3 linked regions of the Arabidopsis thaliana genome follow. The protein of the gene in region 1 purifies or fractionates together with the protein of each later gene. This does not show direct contact. Each region holds a gene or a part of one and is shown in the gene's direction. Other genes may lie near its edges.

Region 1 (4,326 bases):
CGTTGTTATAGAACTGGATCATTCACTTAAGAACACTAAAAAAGAGTCATCCTCGAGTAGTACAAGGTCACTTAGTGCATCGAAGAACCGAAGTAGATCACCTCCTGAGCCCATTCACATGTCAATCAGCTGTGTTTCTTCTAGTAATACCGAGAAAACTATTGTGGGGAGGCCCCAGAACGGTTCTAGGAGTGCAGTGAAAGCAGACAAGAAGAAGAGATCAGGTCCAAGTTCAGTTCACATGTCACTCAATTTTGCTTCTTCTACTCTTCGTACGACCAAAGAAGCCCCAAAAACACTGGCAAGAAACTCCACTACACAGGGAACAACTTCAACAAATGCTAGAAACAAACTTTTCCCAAAGATAAACGAACCAACGGGAGCTTTAAAAAGCTGCAAGAGACCATTGTCTCAGACATCCAAAGACGGTTCAACCAATGTAATTCTCTTCCCAAGTTTCTCTTCTTGCGTATATCCCAAGCATATTTGCTGAGACTGACTCTTACATATATTGCAGGCCTCTGCTGTCACGTTACCCAGACTTCCTCTTCTCAGTAATCTGCTATCAGAAAACAAAAGGTTACTGATCAAACCATCTTCAACACCAATTCATCGCTTTATACTATTACTTTATTATTAACTCAACCCTATAATTAACTTTGCTTCTTCTGATATACAGGAAAAACATATCTGTAAGGAGTTCAGTTTCATGTAGAATATCCAACAATGAGCAAAGAAAACCTTCTGTCGGGTAAGCGGTTTAAGTACCAACCTCTTAGAGAAATACTATCTTATGTCACTTACTGCAAATGGCCTGAGTTGGTTAATTGAAAGTGTTTGTGTTAGTTCCCTGATTTATGTGGACATAAGACGAGATGTTTTTGTCTAATGCATTTTGCAGCTGTGAAAATCTGTCAACTCATAGCAGAACCAAAGCAAAGTCTTTGACTGTATCTTCTCCCTTCGTCTTCAGAAGTGATGAAAGGGCAGAGAAGAGGAAAGAGGTAGAACTAAAGAAGATCCTTTTACTTTATCTTTGAGATTATTTGAGGACTTATAGAGCCGTAGTTTAAAAAAGATCTCTTTTGTTGTGGATGTGTCTTGTCTGTTAGTTCTTCAAGAAAGTAGAGGAAAAAAACAAGAAAGAGAAAGAGGATAAATTTTCTTGCGGCTTCAAGGCAAATCAAAACACTAACTTAGCATCTGAAGAACACAAGAACCCACAAGTTGGTGGTTTTCAGGTATATTCAACTCTCAGACTGTAACTTGTCATAAATTTGGGTATTGAATCTTTGATGTATGACATTATAATCATGTGCAGGTAACACCGATGACCCTGACTTCACCAAGATTCCGCAGGAACCAAACTCCAGGAAAAGAGAACATAAAAAAACCTCATCAAACTCCTCATAAAGCTTCCTCAATGAAGATCATCAACACCAAAAAAGTAGTCATGGAGAAGCACAAAAGCAGCAAGATCCATCCCTCCTCCAAACAGCAGACAACAAAAAGAACTCAAGAAAATATGTCTCCTAATATTCTTCAGAACTAACCAGAGACAAACCAGATCAATCGATTCCTCTTCTTCAAGTCTCTAGATCATCGTAAAGATTCGACTTTTCACTTTGAAGATTCCGAAAGTTTTGTCCCTTCAGCTAGTAATCTCATCTCAAGCTTATGGTTTAGGTGACTAGCCCTTGATTCAGATTGTGTAACCACAAGCTTTTAAGGAGCTGTGTAGAATAGATAGAACTCAAGTCTACTTACTCTTCAAAGTAACTATGTACTCAATAGTTCTGTAGTATCAATCTTGTATCATTTGTATACATAGAGATTTGAAATAAAGAATTATGTCTACTTTTCAATTTCTCATTGTGTTTCTTTCTTGAATTAGTATAGACAGGAACATGGCAAAGCTTTCTGTTTTACATTTGTTTTAAACGACGACGTTTTGGTATGATGTTGTGATGTTGTGTTGTTGTGGTGTGGGCCTCTCGTTTCAGAGGTGAGAGAAAAAATCTTATCTCTGTGGACTGTGATTGTGTGATGTTTCCATATCTTCAGCTTTTCTTCTACTACATGCTCTAATCACGTCCTTGTAGAGGAAAAGAAAAAAAATGGCTGCTTCATCTTCCTCTTTCACTCTCTGTAATCACACCACACTTCGTACTCTCCCTCTGAGAAAGACCCTTGTCACCAAAACCCAATTTTCAGTTCCCACAAAATCATCAGAATCTAACTTCTTTGGCTCCACACTCACTCACTCATCGTATATCTCCCCAGTCTCTTCCTCTTCTCTCAAAGGCTTAATCTTTGCCAAGGTACATTTCTCGACTCTTGCATTGATAGATTGTTTGCTACAGTTGGGTAACAACTAGTTCTGGGAATTAGCTTCTTTGTTAGACCAATGTTTTTTGGACAATCTAAGTTCTGTTCCATTTCTTTTTTATATGTTTTTGAGTATTACGATATAAATATTAGCAAGACAATAGATTGTTAGATACACAGCCATTTTTGAATAAGAAACAAAAGATGTAAATATTGGGTTTTAAGTCTGAATTTAAATGTTATAAGAACAGATTTATGAATGTGTTAGTGCAGAATCAAAGACAAAATCAAAGAAACTTGTAATCAGTGTTTGTTTTAGAGACCATAAACTTTCACATACCTGAAAATAAGCAAATGCTAGAATGTTCTTGAATATGTTCAATCCTTTATTCATATGATTTAAGCTGACACGGCATATGAACTCTCTTTAACCTTCTGTGAATTGGTCTCTTTGTGATGTTTGGTGGGCAGCAGGTTAACAAGGGTCAGGCTGCACCAGACTTCACACTAAAGGATCAAAACGGAAAGCCGGTGAGCCTCAAAAAGTATAAAGGGAAGCCTGTTGTTCTCTACTTCTACCCTGCAGATGAAACCCCTGGCTGCACCAAGCAGGTTGTTAAATCTTTACTTTCTCCTCCTTCCCGCATTCATTGATCGCATATTTAGTGTTTCTAAACGTAAATGGTTTTACTTGTGTACAACAGGCTTGTGCTTTCAGAGACTCTTATGAGAAATTCAAGAAAGCTGGTGCAGAGGTCATTGGCATTAGTGGAGATGACTCTGCTTCTCACAAGGTACACACATCAAAAATCTCTGGTTTCTTGAATAAACCCATTTCTTTTTTCCGGATTTTAAAGAGAGTGGTGGGACTTTAAACATTGTTGCAGGCGTTTGCAAGCAAATACAAACTACCGTATACATTGTTAAGCGACGAAGGGAATAAGGTGAGAAAAGATTGGGGAGTGCCTGGAGACCTGTTTGGAGCATTGCCAGGGAGACAGACTTACGTTCTTGACAAAAACGGTGTTGTTCAGCTCATCTACAACAACCAGTTCCAGCCTGAGAAACACATCGACGAGACCTTGAAGTTTCTCAAAGCTGCTTGATCATTCTCTCTTTCTCTTCTTTCTCTTCTTTCATGCATGTCTCATGTCTGTCTCCATGAGACCATGACCTTCTTATATTGTTTCTGTTGAGTATGAATTTTCAATAATACCATGTTATACCAATGAGAAGGGAGTTGGCTTTGGTCTAGTACAAAGATCACAACAGGATAAGTACTGAAGTGTGGTTAAAATGTTAGTTGGTTCTGTGTATTTGAGTCTCTCGTTTTCATTGTGAACACCTCTACTATCTCTTTCTCTTGTATCAATTAACACTTCAAGTAAGGTACACATATCAGGTAACTCTAGCTAGCCCTTGATTAAAATTGTCAAACACAAAGCTTTAAGGAATTGTGTAGAATACATAGAACTCAAGTCTTCACACAATAGTTTTAGTATGTGAACTCAAGTACTCAATAGTGTTGTGGTCTCAATCTAATATTTGAAATTTAAAACGGTTATTTTCGCATTGTGTTTCTTTCTTGATTTGAGTATAGACAGGAATAAAGGTAGAGCCTTTGGACTGTATGAAGAATATGGCAAAGCTCTGTTTTTTTACGCATTTGTATTAAATGACGTCGTATAAGTCGGAGCACCGAGGGCCTCTCGTTTCATGAGAGAAACAAAAAATCTTATCTTTCTGACAACGGTGGTGGTGTGTGATGTTGTCAGCCATGGCAAAGACAGAGCTACAACGATCTCTCTCTCTTTTCTTCTTCTTCTGTGTCTGTCTTTAAATAGAGTCTCTTTGAAACGAAGCAGCTTTGTCCTGTTCTGATATCCATGGCTTTACCTTCGTGCTTAAAGACTGGAGCTTTAATGTCTCCGGCCACTGGATTTAATTTTTCCGGCAGTCTTATGAAGTCAGACAGCGGCTTCGCCGTTCCGACAAAGT
Region 2 (4,060 bases), on another chromosome or scaffold:
TTAACTTTCAGGCCCATCAGCATTAAACAATAATCTTTTTTTTCCTTAGATACTTACTCTCAGGCCAATTGACTTAACTTTCAGGCCCATCAACATTGTAACGTTACTCTTGTCCATTAATATTTAAATTATTATTATATAAAGTATAGGCTCCATTTGAGCCAATTGACTTAAAACTCGGTCCATTAACACTAGTGATATTCCATATTTTGCGTGACTTTTTGTTGGCTAAATAAATTATGGGAAAGAAAAAAAAGTAAGATATTAATCAAATTGGTTTCTATTTTATGGTTAAATCTTTTTATAAAATTATTTTTCTTTTATTTTGTATAAAATGAAGGGTTTTAAAAGTTTCAAATTCTTGTTTTTAGTTTGATTCGCAGTTAATATTCGATTTTGGGATAATTTTGGAGAGTTATTACTTACTTTAACTAGGATTCAACCCGTGGTTTACAGCGGGCCTCGGTTTTATATGTTTTTTTTTTTTTTTTGTCATCATCATCTTATTGATTTATAAATCAGCAGTGTAGTCACAATGTAAAGCATAGCTTATTACATTAGGAACCCAAAAATGATTAAGGAATAAAGATTGGTTTTGGAGAGGAGCTTTAGCAAGAATATCAGCTGGAACATTGTGATGTCTTCTTATCCAATTGAAATGGATTGATTCAAACTTCCTTGACCACCAATGAACGTCTCGTATCCAGTTGTGAACGCCAAAATGTACCTTGGATCCGTTGATTAGGTCAAACAGCATCTTGTTATCTCCTTCAAAGCAAACCCGTTTGTAACCATGACTCCAACAGTGCTGCATTGAAATGATTAGCGCTTGAATTTCACTCTCCAGAGCATTGTCCACCTTTCTTCCTATAGCCTGACCCGCCAGTAGATAACTTCCATTACTATCCCGAACAACCCAACCTGCTTTACTTTCTACATCTCCATTAACGAATGAGCCATCAAAGTTGCATTTGATCCATCCTCTTTCAGGTCGTCAATCTTATATGGTTTTTAATTAAGTATTTGATTATATTTATATTATAAATTTATAAAATATTTCTTTTATTTTAAATTTTTATAAATAATGATTGAGATTTTTATTGGTTAGTTGTTATTTAGTGATTAAAATAATGTGTTTTAATGTGTGTATGTAATTTAAATATAAGTAAAGTAGTAACAAAAATGTAAAATAGTAAAAACGGTGTAATTTTTTTTGTGATTATAAGTTTTTTTATTATTATTATTTTTGTGATTATAATTCTTTTTGGAATGAAATATGCTCATATTTAGATACCAAAATGAAGTAGTGATACCAATATTGTTGAACGGTTAAGATTGTCTACTTTGGATGCTAAACATGATTAGGTATTTGAATTCGTGAATAAGTGACTATTATTCCTAACCCACCCGAAATTAAAAATGTGGATCATATAAACTTTAATAGATTGAATTGACCAAATTATTCTTAATGGCTATGTACAAAATCCAAAATTGAAATTGAGGCCAAAATTATCTATTTTTCAATTTGTACTTTTTTTTAACAATAAGGGATTTCATTTATTTGTCAAGTTGGATTGGATTTAAGTTACAATTTGCTTAGATATTATCGAAACCGGTTTTCAATTAACTTTGACTAGGTTTAACCGAATTGGTCAATTTCCACGTCATTCAGCCACGTGACAATCGCATTCTGGGAACACTCGATCTCAATCCTATGTGGCAAAACTGAGAATCAAGAAACCACGTGTCAACATATTAGTAGTTAAAACCATATCCGAGTAATCTAAGTAACAACGTGAATCAGATAAGGTATTCTTTGTCACATAACCAAACACCAAAAATTATAACTCAACACTTCACTAATCAATTATTCAAAGCAGATAAAAAAAAAATGGCTCAAGCAGTGACTTCGATGGCTGGCTTACGTGGAGCATCTCAGGCTGTCCTTGAAGGAAGTTTACAGATCAACGGCTCAAACCGTTTGAACATCTCAAGAGTCTCGGTTGGGTCTCAGAGAACCGGACTTGTGATCAGGGCTCAGCAGAACGTGTCAGTACCAGAAAGTAGTCGCCGGTCAGTGATTGGACTCGTGGCGGCTGGTTTAGCCGGTGGTTCATTCGTTAAAGCTGTTTTCGCCGAAGCTATTCCGATCAAAGTTGGTGGTCCTCCACTTCCTTCCGGTGGCCTACGTAAGTAAAACTAATTTAATTAAATTTCACATAATGACTAATACTATTTTTTTGGTTAAGGAGATAACAAAACGAAATTATTGTGTTATAGCTTGCATGGTTATAATTTAGGTTTTTATCAAACGTATCTTTAATCACTTTTGTAAGATAAAAGTTTTAGTAATTAGATTATAGAGACCGGTTCTGTTTGATTGATTATGGTTCTGCTTTTGTTTTTGTTTTTTTGTGTGTGAGCAGCTGGAACAGATAACTCAGACCAAGCAAGAGACTTTTCATTGGCATTGAAAGATAGATTTTACATACAACCATTGTCACCAACAGAAGCTGCAGCTAGAGCCAAAGATTCTGCTAAAGAGATCATCAACGTTAAGTCATTTATCGACAAAAAAGCTTGGCCCTATGTTCAGAACGATCTCCGTTTAAGAGCATCGTACCTCCGTTACGATCTCAACACCGTTATCTCCGCTAAGCCTAAGGAAGAGAAGCAAAGCCTTAAAGATCTCACCGCAAAGCTTTTCCAAACCATTGACAACGTAAGTTTTTTCTTTCTTTAGGGTTTTGTTTTCTAGCGGTTTCTTGGTAAAGAAGTTAGAGTGTGCATTGATTTTTTTTATGCACAAGATTCTTCCTAAGTTTGGGTTAATCTGAGATTGTTGTTTTGTTGATTTTCTTATGTGGAAGTTGGACTATGCGGCGAGATCAAAGAGTAGCCCAGATGCTGAGAAGTATTACTCAGAAACTGTCTCGAGTTTGAACAATGTTCTTGCCAAGCTCGGTTAATGAAGAAAGACTTGCGTTGTAATCTGTTGATGTCGATGTTATTATAATTACTGCTATCCAAGTACTTTGTCTTTCTCCTTCTCTTCTTGTCTGATCAAATCGGTTATCTCTAATTTCAGTTTCAAGTTTTAACCAATATATTGGCTGGCTCTTTAGCAAAACATTATATATTCGTCCTCGAGCTGACCACTTTGTAAGTTCATGTTCTGATTCTGAGCATTCCCGTCCTCATCATTCCCATTATCAGTTTTACACCAACTTCGTGATCAAATTAACCTTTGTTCCATCATAAATTAGATGACATACCACAACTTTTCAAAGAGTTTTGATTGGAAATTTTAACTAAAATTAATATCAAATTTTCTTTTATACAGAAATTAATGGATTGATAACAACAACAACCATGCATTTGTCACAGTTTCATGCAGATAGTAGTCCCTCAACATATTTGTATGTGAAAGTTACTTTGTCATCTTAGGAATCAGAATGAGGGCTTGAGATTCTGTCTTTTTGAGGTCTTGATGTCAGGAATGTAAAAGAAAATCGATGTTAAGACACATGATATTCAAGTAAGATATGCAATTAATTTAGCTTCATTTTCTAATTGATATAGAATAGGTAACATAGAGATTTTTCTTAAAGTTTAGTTCAATTAATATTTATCATACACTTCTAGTCTATATTACGTACACACTACTGATTATCCTTTACATACATACATACATCATATACATACATCAAATGTATAAATTAATCATACTATAGTGAACAATATATTTTAACATAGATCGTGAAGATAATAAAAAATATACGTGTGATTAGGTCAAAGGCCGAGGACACTTAAACCATTAACACTTTTATAAGTTTTTATTCTTCTTCTTGTTAATCGCTTCACTTTTTCTAAGTGTTCTTCCCACTCCACGCGCGAGATAATCTAAACTTTAGATTTTAATTAGGTATAATGATATAACAAATTTCATGATATGACAAGGAGGAGGTTAGACCATGGTCGTTTAATTGTCATGTCCTATAAGTCAACAAAGAAGTTTTTGTATGTGCTTAAGGTTTAAACGTCATATGGTTGACCGAAA
Region 3 (3,812 bases), on another chromosome or scaffold:
TAACACGAGAAACAGAAATGAAACACCTAAGAAAACACCAGAAGACATATGTTATATACCTTCTGCTTGGCAGCCATTTTCTCTTCCTTAACTTTATCAAGTTCTTCTCCGAGAGAAGCCTGCACTTTTTCAGCTGCAACTCTAGCTTCTTTTTCTCTTCTATGACATTCAATGGCGTCCTAGTGTTCAATAAGTAAGAGGAAAGCAAAGTCAAGTAATGAATTTCATTAAAAGAAAACATTCACAATTAGAAAAACCAGGCACCAAAACCCTTGCCTGTGTACTAGACTCCTCCTTTGCAAGCTTTTCATGTAGTGACACTACATTCTCTTCCAACTTTGAGATAGTGGCCTGTAGCTCTTCCTCTTTTGTCCTAGCCTCCAACTCTATAAGAGTCAAAAAGTTAGGGACTACCACCAAATGAGTGAATAACTTGTTTCATGTAAAAAAATCGCAAGAAGAAAATAACCTTTGTGGTTGTATTTTTGTTCTGAAGATTCCAAAGAAACCTTCAAATTTTCCTTCTCTTGGACATGGGTTTCATCAGCTTGTTGGAACCATTTTACACAAACCTTCAGCCTCTTGATAATATCCGTCATTTGCTCAATCTTAGCCTGCAGGGACAGAGACAAAAAAAAACTCCTTCTGAGTGAAACCATAAATGAAAACATCTACAATGCTTAGAGCACAGAGCAAGTGTAACTCAATCAATATACCTTAGTATCAAACTTTCCAGCTTTTGCTCTCTCACTGAGCAACGCCAATATTTCATCTTTTGTAAAGTCAACTTTACCACATTCTTCAATGCTCCCTACATCGCTGTTCATCGTGACATCTTGTTTATTCACAGCCGAAAAAGCTTGTCTTCTCCCAGTACCTCCTTGCGTTTCCACTTTCCTTCGCTTGTCAAATGAAATGCCACCGAGACCCTCCTTTTTCTGAAATTGAATCAAAAGCCACAGATTTTTCATCAGTTTCATAACAAAACCAATATCCAGCTACAAGAAATGTAGAATCCCAGAACCCACGACCACTCTAAATTCTATTGATAACACCCATCAGAGTAAGAAATGCAAAGCCGATGAAGATAACACCTTAATAAATTCATCTGGTAAGCTCACAAACAAAACCCAAAATGCGAAATTAATAATTCGACCAGTCCTAGGGTTTTTCTCAAACCCATCCTCCAGAACACTCAAAAGTGACGACGAAATGTAGTGGAAAAGCATGAAAAAGGGAGCTTACGGCGTTTGGACTGCGAGGAGGACGATTCTGGTTGCGAGAAGCCATCTCCGAGACTCAAAATTGCTACAAATTTCTTCTCCTTTCGCTCGTCAAGTGCATAAAAATCCCAAAATGGTAGTCTTCTCCCTAAATTCGGGTTACCGACAATAAAATCTCCGATTGATTCTCAAGATCTTAGAGAATCAAATCGAAAACCTTCTCAATCGAAGTCGAGAAACTAGGATTCTTACTTTTTCCTAATTTGGGGATTTTTGTGTGTGTGTAAGTGTGTGACTGAAGCAGGAGCCTGTAGTTTCGAAATTCGAACGATTTTGAAATTAGATGTGGCGGACTTCTGGAATTATCATAACGTTATCAATCAATAAAGTATTTAAACATATGGGCTAACTTTGGGCCTACAATTCGGCCCAAATGTTTAAATAATCTTGCCACGTGGCTTTAAGGCGGACAAAAATGACACGTGGTTTTATATGAGTGGCTACAACCATATCCAAGTTATCTAAAGTACAGATAAGGCGCTCTGTGTCGGAGAATGAAACCAACCAATCATATAAGCATAACCAATAATCATCGGCTTCAATTTTCGTCTTGAGAAAGAAAAACAAAATGGCTTCGATGGGTGGATTACACGGTGCATCTCCGGCGGTTCTTGAAGGAAGCTTAAAGATCAATGGCTCCAGCCGTCTGAATGGCTCTGGAAGAGTGGCGGTGGCTCAAAGGTCTAGACTTGTCGTCAGAGCTCAGCAGAGTGAGGAGACTTCTCGCCGGTCCGTGATTGGGCTTGTTGCTGCTGGTTTAGCTGGTGGCTCGTTTGTTCAGGCTGTCCTCGCCGATGCTATTTCGATCAAAGTTGGCCCTCCTCCAGCTCCTTCCGGTGGCCTTCGTAAGTTAACTAACAAACTAATCTTCCAATATGATATTCATTCTCATTGTTAATGAGATTAGGAATTTAAACGTGATTTAAGTTATGTAGATGAAAAAACCATAAAATGTAGTCTTTAAATGTGGATGTTTTTGTATAAGAATATAAGAGACTCCATAATAATCAAGCATGTGTATGAATGTTTCATTCGGATTTGGGTTAGAGTTCATAATAAGCAAGCAAACATGTGTTCGAGTTAGTTCTTATATCGATTTTTCTGGTATAAACACACTTAACTCGATCTCTATATGACATACGACGGTAGATATATAACACTTACACATTGTTTTATGTTTTATGAGGTGACAACAATTTGTTTTGTTTGGTGAGCAGCTGGGACAGATAACTCAGACCAAGCAAGAGACTTTGCATTGGCATTGAAAGACAGGTTTTACTTACAGCCATTGCCACCAACAGAAGCTGCAGCTAGAGCCAAAGAATCTGCAAAGGATATCATAAATGTGAAGCCATTGATCGACAGGAAAGCTTGGCCATATGTTCAAAACGATCTTCGTTCCAAGGCTTCTTATCTTCGTTATGATCTTAACACAATCATTTCCTCCAAACCCAAGGATGAGAAGAAGTCACTCAAGGATCTCACCACCAAGCTCTTCGATACCATCGACAATGTAAGTTTCTCATCTAACTTCGATCACCATCTATCAAGATTTTGTAATGTTTCTTGTTTGTCTGATCGAAAGTTTGTTTATGATTGATTCTCCGGCAGCTGGATTATGCGGCGAAGAAGAAGAGTCCTTCGCAGGCTGAGAAGTACTATGCTGAGACAGTCTCTGCTTTGAACGAAGTTCTTGCCAAGCTTGGTTAAGCATTTTAATTTCTGCATTTTTCTTGTAAATTATTATTCTTGGTTTTTGTTCTTGAGTACTTTAGACTCAAATTCGTGAATCTGAATTTATGTTTCACGTTTTCACCAAGTAATGGCAATTTCTTGAGTATGCGTTAGCTTTGTTTGCATGGTGATTTAGCAAACAACAACATAAAGTCTATTCGTACAGTTCTTAATTCAGTTTCATTTATAAATGACAACACCAAAGTATTAGGGTGAATTATAAAATGGATCAACTCTTTCATTGAAACTACAAAATAACGAATTGAATTTGAATAAAACATTTCTAGCTTTAATTTCACTATAGATTGTCCAATAGTATTAAATAACTCTGTTGAAAATCAAAATTGTACATTTTTAATCTAGTGTCTTACAAGTTACAACAAAACTTTCCATCTATTTCAGGGTTTAAGCTAACATTGTTTACTTTAGACAAACTAAATGGATCTATTCGTGGAAGCTCATTGGTTTATTTTAATACTTCTACACTATATTGAATTCCATTCTCATAAAATACGAATTATGAAAATTAAGTAAAAAATTATATTGGAGATCTCCACCATGGTGAAACAAGGTTCAAAACCGAATCAAAAAGAAAATAGACTAACCGAAAACAACCAATACTTAAACCAAGCTTGGTTTGATGTGGCAGCGATTTTACTTAAATTGGGCCTAAATACTCAAAGAGGCCCATGTTTATGTTTTGCACGTGTGTTTGTAGTCTTCGTCTGCCCTAATTCCCCGCGCCATTTTCCCGGTTACTTCTCCGTCGCCGTCGTCGGCAACTCGCTGACTTAG

The links.
Region 2: the proteins of PRXQ (region 1) and PSBQ-2 fractionate together in Arabidopsis thaliana (co-fractionation; one large-scale study listed by BioGRID). This does not show direct contact.
Region 3: the proteins of PRXQ (region 1) and PSBQA fractionate together in Arabidopsis thaliana (co-fractionation; one large-scale study listed by BioGRID). This does not show direct contact.

The regions. Positions count from the first base shown.
Region 1 is NC_003074.8:9,522,690-9,527,015, forward strand, and holds PRXQ (Thioredoxin superfamily protein), read left to right. Parts: upstream 1-2,035; 5' UTR 2,036-2,117; coding exon 2,118-2,321; intron 2,322-2,775; exon of another isoform or gene 2,776-2,784; coding exon of another isoform or gene 2,785-2,799; coding exon 2,800-2,940; intron 2,941-3,032; coding exon 3,033-3,122; intron 3,123-3,215; coding exon 3,216-3,434; 3' UTR 3,435-3,718; downstream 3,719-4,326. Other genes in the region: AT3G26050 (TPX2 (targeting protein for Xklp2) protein family), read left to right, coding at 1-439, 518-579, 680-751, 902-1,004, 1,113-1,241, 1,322-1,552; AT3G26070 (Plastid-lipid associated protein PAP / fibrillin family protein), read left to right, coding at 4,215-4,326. UniProt on the Arabidopsis thaliana protein: Thiol-specific peroxidase that catalyzes the reduction of hydrogen peroxide and organic hydroperoxides to water and alcohols, respectively. Plays a role in cell protection against oxidative stress by detoxifying peroxides.
Region 2 is NC_003075.7:2,671,002-2,675,061, reverse strand, and holds PSBQ-2 (photosystem II subunit Q-2), read left to right. Parts: upstream 1-1,818; 5' UTR 1,819-1,891; coding exon 1,892-2,189; intron 2,190-2,426; coding exon 2,427-2,722; intron 2,723-2,870; coding exon 2,871-2,969; 3' UTR 2,970-3,162; exon of another isoform or gene 3,163-3,278; intron 3,279-3,343; 3' UTR 3,344-3,539; downstream 3,540-4,060. UniProt on the Arabidopsis thaliana protein: Required for photosystem II assembly/stability and photoautotrophic growth under low light conditions.
Region 3 is NC_003075.7:11,332,595-11,336,406, forward strand, and holds PSBQA (photosystem II subunit QA), read left to right. Parts: upstream 1-1,807; 5' UTR 1,808-1,851; coding exon 1,852-2,128; intron 2,129-2,497; coding exon 2,498-2,796; intron 2,797-2,894; coding exon 2,895-2,993; 3' UTR 2,994-3,179; downstream 3,180-3,812. Other genes in the region: ATK1 (kinesin 1), read right to left, coding at 60-179, 277-386, 470-614, 717-938, 1,246-1,290. UniProt on the Arabidopsis thaliana protein: Required for photosystem II assembly/stability and photoautotrophic growth under low light conditions.